Nothobranchius furzeri: one gene and its partner. The protein of the gene in region 2 purifies or fractionates together with the protein of the main gene of each other region. This does not show direct contact. Links are inferred from orthologs where the notes say so. Each region holds a gene or a part of one and is shown on either strand. Other genes may lie near its edges.

Region 1 (4,294 bases), on a different chromosome or scaffold from region 2:
CCAATGGGAATTTCACTTTGACTCCCAGTAAGCTGCTTTGCTGAGCAATGCACAAAGAAGAAGACACATTCCATGAATGTATTTCAAGGTTTGCTAGTTGGATCAAGTCTTGCCAAACTCCTTTTTCCTTCTGATCCATCCTGTCACTATAAAACTAAATGAGTTGAGACCGTCTTGGGTGAAATCATCTATGATTTCTCATCTAAACCTTACTTTGGAAATTAACTATTTATAGCATCATAATATAGGTTAACTTCATCATCTGAAATCTCTGTTTTCAGTTGTTGTTTATGCTATTTTGTCCAGTTAAAGAAAAGCCAACACATTTTCTTGCTTGCTTAGAAAATGTGCTAGCAAGAGGTGAGACCTCTACGCCAAAACACACAATACCTCTTAGAATTTTACTCAGTGGCCTGTAAAGCCCTGGTTGACGTTTTTAGTGAGTTATTTTCCACCAATTTTGTTTACAGTTAAAGATGTTTTTATATTTATTAGTAAGCCCAAAGATTTTTTAGAAATAATTTTACTAATTAATGACTATGTGAAAAATTATTGTAAAGACGAGTAAATGAAAGTCTCCATCAGTGTATTATTATTGTCGTTATTGAACCCAAATTGTTATCTAGGCCCTTATAATCAGGTCATAGTTTTTAAAAATTTTGTTTTCAAAAGACTGAAGTTCATTTGATGAACACATATTGTATTTACATTTTGTATGTTTATTTTTTACATAAACTTTCAATGTGAATTGTGCAAATAAAAATCTTAAAGCAGAACTATTCTTTGGAATTGTTTGTTTGCGCATTAGTTCTCAGTGATCAACTATAAACAAATGCAACTATTGTAAATATATTTATAATTAACATACTTAATAGTTTTGCTTCATGTAGAATTTCATGTTTAGTTTTGTAAAAATCTGATTGATCTGTGCTCCATTAGTTCTGGCTGAAACTCGCGCGGGAATTCTGCGAACCAGTTCACTGATCCTATATTGCTCTTAAGATGCCCCACTTGGTAGAAGAAGAAAAGTTAATGTGTGTAGCGCCTTTCAAGATAAAAATCACAGTGCGTCAGAGATTTAGGTTAGGGCAGAGCTACTCTAGCTCTGGGTTAGAGTGGCCAAATGTTTCTCTCTTTTATGAACCGTTAAGAATAAACAAAGTTGTTATGTGGTTACAGTGTAACAACTCAACCCTGATTTTTTTCGGTACATTAGAGAAAAATACAAACAGGTGGGGACCACACAGAAGTTTAAAATGGCCAAACGAATCATCATAATGTCTCGAATCATAACGTAAACAAACTAAAACGTAATATACCACAAAGTACATTAAAACAAAGTTAAAACTTACGTGGATTGTAAATCGGAGTCAGAGTGAGACCTCGTCTCGTGAGCTTCCTCTCCAAGTAGCACGCGGGCTGCAGCCGCCGCTCTGCCTGTGATTGTTGTGGTGGCTCCGAGAGTGCATCGGAGAAAGTTGCCCTCTTCATCACGTCGCTTTGTTTGCTTGTTTGCAACATTAAGGAACAATGGCGGACTCCCAAGATGACAAGCTCTACAAGGCGGAATACGCGAAAAGCGGCCGGGCTTCGTGCAAGAAATGCAAAGAGAGCATAGCTAAGGACTCGCTGAGGATGGCCCTCATGGTGCAGGTGAGGAGGTAGCGACGTCTGGAGGGATTTAACCAAGGAACCATTCTGTTATGAAGCCTTTTATAACCGTGCTGATATCTAAATCATATGTGCGCATATAGAGAACCATAATAATCAGACTTTAAACTAATCTAGTGTAGTTTATAAAGGAGTTTGAGTTGTGCTAAGTGAGGCCCCCGGTTAGCATTTAAATGGCTGACTGAATGAATCTGGCTCACAAAGAGCCGCCTGGATCGCCTCAGAGGGACTTAGGACAATGTCTGAGACCCATCCAGTGTGCTGCAGAATACAACTGCTCCATCCTCTCCTCCACTCAAGAGACATAGATAAAAAAAATCACACAAGCAGCTGTTCCAGTCTGTGCAATAGAGAAATAATCATGTAAGAGTCAAACTCCTGCTTATTGGTCAGTCTGTGGGTCCAGATCAGCACTCACCCCTGCAAAAGGAAGGAAAATTCATTACCACTTGCACACATTTAAAGTTTCAGCCACAAAATATAGTCTATATAGTATTTCTTTTGTAACGTCTTAATAGTTACAGTAATGCATATTATCAGGTCAGTGGTTCCTTTTTGTTTTTATTGTTGGAAAACCCAACCGTGTGTTGTGTATTTTCTGCAAAATATGTCAATTTTTTTTTAGTTCTGGCTGCATGAAACATTGACATTCTTGTGAATATGTTTATTTGTTATACTTGTTTAAATAAGTAAGTCAGAATTATTATCTGTAGTTTTAAAGACAAAATTGTGAAAACCCTTGTTTACAAATTCATGATTTTATTTTTAACGTGAGTAAAATCTGAATTTTTTTAATGCACAAAAAACGTTTGTCATGTAAAACCAGAAAAATTCCATCCATCCATTTTCATCCGCTTATCCGGAGATGGGTAGTAGCCAGTAGCCGAAGTCAAGAGGCCCAGACTTCCCTCTCCCCAGCCACTTGGGCCAGCTTCTCTGGTGAAATCCCAAGGCGTTCCCTGGCCAGGTGAGAGACATAGTCCCTCCACCGTGTCCGGGGTTTACCTTAAGGGCTCCTCCTGGTTGGACGTGCCCAGAAAACCTCACCAGGCAGGACTGCGGGTTCCCGTCAGCTGCCTCTGGAGTCCCACAGGCCAAAAAGACCTGTTAGGACTCTTTCTTCAGCTTGACGGCATCCCTAACCGCCGGTGTCCACAAGCGGGTTCGGGGGTTGCCACCACGACAGGCACCAACGATCCTGCGACCACAGCTCCGGTCGGCCGCCTCAACAAAAGAGGCACGGAAAAGAGTGCATTCAGACTCGATGTCCCCCGCCTCCCCCGGAACATTTTGGAAGTTCTGTCGGAGGTGGGAATTGAAGCTCCTTCTGACAGGAGACTCTGCCAGACGTTCCCAGCAGACCCTCGCGATACGTTTGGGCCTGCCTGGTCTGACCGGTATCCTCCCCCACCATCTGAGCCAACTCACCACCAGGTAGTTGTCAGTTGCCTGCTCCGCCCCTCTCTTCACCCGAGTGTCCAAGACACGCGGCCGCAGGTCAGACGAAACGACAACAATCCATGACTAGCACAGAAATCCAACAACAAAACAACATTCAAATTCAGAAACCAGAAAAATTCAAACAGAAAAACCTTTATTCTCACTTTAATGGTTTTGTTTTTTTTTTTCATCTTTTTTTTCTGATATTTGCTGTTGCTTCATTGTCTTGTTTTTGTCCTCCAGTCCCCGATGTTCGATGGGAAAGTCCCACACTGGCACCACTTCTCCTGCTTCTGGCAGCGAGCGGCAGCTCAGACTGAAGCAGACATCGCCGGGTTCTCCACTCTTCGCTGGGAGGACCAGCAAAAAGTCAAAAAGGCTATTGAGACTGGAGGAGCTGTCGGAGCAGGTCGGTGGTAGATCTTTAATTATTGTGTTCAGCGCCTTGTTTGGTTGTAATGCCTTGTGAATGCGCTTTATAAATAAAATTGGATTGGATCGTAAGCAAAAGAGCTTAAGATAGCTACTTTCAATTGGTTTAACTTTGTCTTATTAGCCAGATAAAAAAGTGAAGTGATCCATAAAAAGTCAAAAGAGTGCCATTTCTCAAGTTGTTCTAAATGTTTTTAATTTATCATTTACTATTAATGCATATTTTTTTTAAATGTTTAGACTTATTTTCCTTTGCATCTTGCAGGGAAAAGTGATTCAAAAGGTGCCGCTCAAGGGGCCAAAACTCTGAATAACTTTGCCGTGGAGTACGCCAAGTCGAACCGCAGCACGTGCAAAGGCTGCGAGCAAAAAATAGAAAAGGTCCGCAGCACAGGAAATGTCTTAATCAATAACCGTTGAACACGTGTCATAAATACTTCACATGTCTGCCGTATTTTTGCTTCTCTTTCAGGATCAGATTCGTGTTTCCAAGAAAACGGTTGACCCAGAGAAACCTCAGCTGGGTCTGATCGACCGCTGGTACCACACGGCGTGCTTCGTGAGCCGCAGGGAGGAACTGGTGTTTAAGCCCGATTATTCCGCCGCCCAGCTGAAGGGATTCGACGCGCTGCGCGCCGAAGACAAGAACGATCTTAAGAAGAGGCTCCCTGCTGTCAAATCTGAGGGGTGAGATGACAAACGTTTAGTTTAGAGATTTGTTTCCTCAGCGATGTTATTCCTGCTGCTCATC
Region 2 (3,820 bases):
TCCTTTATTTCATTCACACTCAGTTAACAGTTGAATCAATTTCATAATTCCCCCTCATGCAAGTATTCAAAACCCAAACTAAAATAGTTAATGCAAATCTTGTATTCAAGTCTTACACCTTATTTTACTTTTGAAAACATCACTCAAAATGCTATTATGTCCCATTCGAACATGTATTTTTCCCCCAAACAGATAAGCAAGCACAATATTGGCATGATAACGTCTACTACCACTTTCCCCTTTGTCTACTTAGCCAAATAAGAAATAAAAGTACAAGTAAGCTGTATTCAAGAGCACCATCGTCAAGAAAAACACGAGTCTCAGCACATACATTACATGCAATAGGTCATTCCAGTTAAAAAATGACTTATCTAGACATTTTGTTTTTTTGTAACAATAAAAACTAATAAAAATAAGGTCAAATAAATTATTGTTTACATGATAAAAAACAAGTTGAAGTTATGTTCACAAGGATGTTTGTGTGTAAAGTCAACATATAAATACAGCGTTTTTTTCACAAGAGTGATGACCATTTCAATTTAGGTAGGAATATTTCAACACAAATCATTAAAAACATTTTCACAGTTACTTTCTTCTCAGCGTCATGAAGGTATGGCAAAAGCATAACACTTGTTTCTAGTAAAATCTTGTTTGCAGGACAGCTGTAGCATTGTTTTACTCGCTGCGATCCTTCGGCTCTCTGTATTTGTACTGGATGTAGTCAAAGATGTCTTTCTCACTATCCACCAGCAGAGGCTCCCCAGCCACTCCTACAACAGATTAAAAGATACAAGAATGAACTGCTGTAAATAATGTAGACAAAGACAGACACCTCATTGGGCGTTGGAGAGTGTAACGGTGTCACCACCACATTGGATGGGTTCCCCATTCTCTAAACCCAAGAGTCAATGAAGAGTGAGCAACTACGCCTTTATTTTGTACAGCTTATGGTTGCATCAACCAACGCACTATTGAAAACAGATCACGTGGGACTTTTCTAGCCTATCTTTTGGGATTTTACATTTGAGATGTTTTATGTTTATTTTATGTAATTATTTTTAAACAACCTGGAACATAACGTTGGGAAGGCCAAGGAACTCAGGCGGAACAGAATGACCCCTGCCCCCCTGCACATCAATGGACAATCTGTGGACCAAATGGAGTCTTCGAAGTGTATTGGCATCCATATCTCTGCAGACCTCTCCTGGTCAGCTAAAAACTACCATCTTTTCAACCTACTGTCCTCTGGCAGGTGCTTCGGATCCATACAGGCCAGAACAAATGGAATCAGGGATAGCTTCTTTCCTAAAGCTATCACCATAATTAACTCAAACTTGCACAATAAATAAGCTGCACTGAAATATCATCAATTTGCCTGTCTGTTTCTGTCACCCAGTACTGTAGTGTGTATTTATATTTATATTAAGTGTATAGTTAAATTATTGTATAGTTTTTATAATGTGCAAAAAAGATATTTAACTATCATGCCATACCATATGTCTGACTTTGTGAAAAAGCATAATAAAAGTATTTTTATTTGCGTAAATACATTAAACAGTAGAAATAAATGCACTGGGGGTGAATGGAGACCCATCCAAGATGGCAGCCTGCCACGGCAGCACAAGTCCACAGGGTGTCTGTCTATATGATGTCTGGTTATTGAGAACTTGAACAAAGTTCTGAGTGTATCTAGCTTTGTTCGACTCACCAGTGACACCAAGTGGTCTTATGGTGTACTCATTAAGAGTGAAGCCCTTCTCCAGGGCATGAGTCCTCATATTTTTGTTAAAGATGTCACTTCCAGTAAAATACAGAACTCCACAGTAGTATTGGTCCTTGGGAATCAACCTTTTGAAATGAAATGAAAATCAATAACTAGCAAGAAAAAAACTATTTGAATAAAGACAGAATTACTCAATCGTTATTTTGAAGCAACCTAATGTATTAAAATCTGTAAGACTTCCATATTAACCTTATATCAATACGCCTGTGAAGATATTCTTCCTCATCATCATCACTAGGCTGCAGCTGACAGACGCCCTAGAGAAAAGGGGAAAAAACCACTAGATCCAGGACATTAAGAAAAGGGTCATGTACAACGGAGGGTTGGTGTGTTTCCTCAGCTGAGAACAAAACAGGCCTCACCATGAACTTGGTGTCTCCTTTGGACAAAGTGTCGGTGACGAAGCCGACAGACTCCAAATGCTCAACCACAGCATGAAGGAGTTTGGGCTGGAAAATGAGAAACGCTTAAATGAGAGAAAGCTGCATTTACTTTAGAAAACAATGAGCCACAGAATAAACGGTGGTCTGACCTGCTTCTCGGTTTGAGAAGTGTACTTTGGGTGGGTCAATAAAATATCAATATCACCACTCGATGCTGCACCTGGAAATTATTCACCTTAATTAAAAAGCTCAACTAAAACCTTAAATTAAAAACTAATTATTTTCTACTTGGGTTACCTCTCCTGTAGCTTCCACAAATTGTTCCGATGTATTCTGTATCGATTTCTGTCAACTCTCCAAGAATAAGAGTCTAAACAAAAACACAGGATCAGTGTAAGAGAACTAGGCATAAAAGCCTTAGTAGAAATATTCAAAATCACCTCCATCTTCTCCATTTCAGCTCGTGGGATTCTTTTTTCAAATTCTTCAAAGTACCTAAGTACCAAAGAAAACACCAGCACATTTATTATGTTAAAAATACTTTTAAAACCATCAAATAATAACAGAAAATGAAGGAAAGTGGTGGTGCTGGGGGATGAGCGTATTTTGGCTGAGCTTACTTGAGCCCAATCTTTTGATGATGATTTAGCTTGTGCTCTACCTTTTTCAAATCTGAAAATAAAAACCATGAGTATCATGAGAATCAATATATAAATAAAACCAAATTTGTACACAACAACTTCATGGGAAACAATGGAGATCAGAGTCTCAGAGTCATTGGATGTGAAATGAAATTAAACAAGAAACTGTTTTAGGGGAATTTGTTTCACAAACCATCTAAAGTCTTAACCCCTTCCTCGAAGAACTTCCTTGCGGCAGCCGGGCTGTGGACAGAAAACCAAGTGATGTGGTGATTGTGTATTTAATTGTAAACATCCCCCGACACTTTTTAACTGTAATAATAGTCACAATAACAATACAATACCCAATTCCAGTTACTCTGGTAAGGAAATTGATGGAAGAGCTGGTGTCATCGTTTCGGATCTGGTAGAAAATATTAAAGTAGCAAACATCAGTCAGTGTGATGCGTTTGAATCCAAACACATTTGGTTGTTTGCTCTTATATCCATTATGCAAATATCCAAACTTACCTTTTCAAGTTTCCTTAACTTGCCAGTTTGAAGAAACTCATCAATCTTTTCTGCTATTTTGGCTCCAACTCCATCCTGTAAAATTGTGAAAAGTTGAAGAAAATTAGTGATTTTCTTCAACTTTTCATGTATGTTAATACATTAAACAACGGTGACTTCTTAACAAATGCAGCAAGTGTACAAAACTAAAAATCACCAACCAGTTTCTTGGCCTCTTCTCCACTCTTAATCTTGTTGGGGTACTTGGCAATGGTGGAAGCTGCTTTCCTATTCGCCGTACAAAAGGAATCATATGTGATGTTTTAAAAACACACCAAAACTGAAGTAATGTTAACCCTTAAGGACCCGTGGTGACACAACTGATTTCAAACACCTGCAGAATTGCTTCTTGAGTCAATTATTCAAGTTTGAAAACCTAACTGACATTCTATCCATACATATATTGAAAATTATTCTACTTCTTTATTTTATTAAATAATTTTTTACATTCTGATGTATTTATT

The links.
Region 1: the proteins of polb (region 2) and parp1 purify together in Homo sapiens (affinity purification with mass spectrometry; 4 studies listed by BioGRID and IntAct, counting the BioPlex papers as one, with this or other methods). This does not show direct contact. The link is inferred for Nothobranchius furzeri from reciprocal best matches to the Homo sapiens genes POLB and PARP1.

What each region holds. Positions count from the first base shown.
Region 1 is NC_091742.1:4,979,539-4,983,832, forward strand, and holds the start of parp1 (poly [ADP-ribose] polymerase 1), read left to right. Parts: upstream 1-1,406; 5' UTR 1,407-1,530; coding exon 1,531-1,653; intron 1,654-3,354; coding exon 3,355-3,520; intron 3,521-3,808; coding exon 3,809-3,924; intron 3,925-4,015; coding exon 4,016-4,230; intron 4,231-4,236; exon of another isoform or gene 4,237-4,251; coding exon of another isoform or gene 4,252-4,294. Other genes in the region: si:dkey-206f10.1 (adenylate cyclase type 8), read left to right, coding at 1-44; adorb1a (adenosine A2c receptor), read right to left, coding at 4,252-4,294. UniProt on the Homo sapiens protein: Poly-ADP-ribosyltransferase that mediates poly-ADP-ribosylation of proteins and plays a key role in DNA repair.
Region 2 is NC_091757.1:55,610,241-55,614,060, forward strand, and holds part of polb (DNA polymerase beta), read right to left. Parts: intron 3,585-3,820; coding exon 3,518-3,584; intron 3,438-3,517; coding exon 3,318-3,437; intron 3,211-3,317; coding exon 3,152-3,210; intron 3,051-3,151; coding exon 3,001-3,050; intron 2,839-3,000; coding exon 2,787-2,838; intron 2,662-2,786; coding exon 2,607-2,661; intron 2,537-2,606; coding exon 2,464-2,536; intron 2,387-2,463; coding exon 2,316-2,386; intron 2,233-2,315; coding exon 2,146-2,232; intron 2,041-2,145; coding exon 1,973-2,040; intron 1,849-1,972; coding exon 1,709-1,848; intron 771-1,708; coding exon 676-770; 3' UTR 1-675.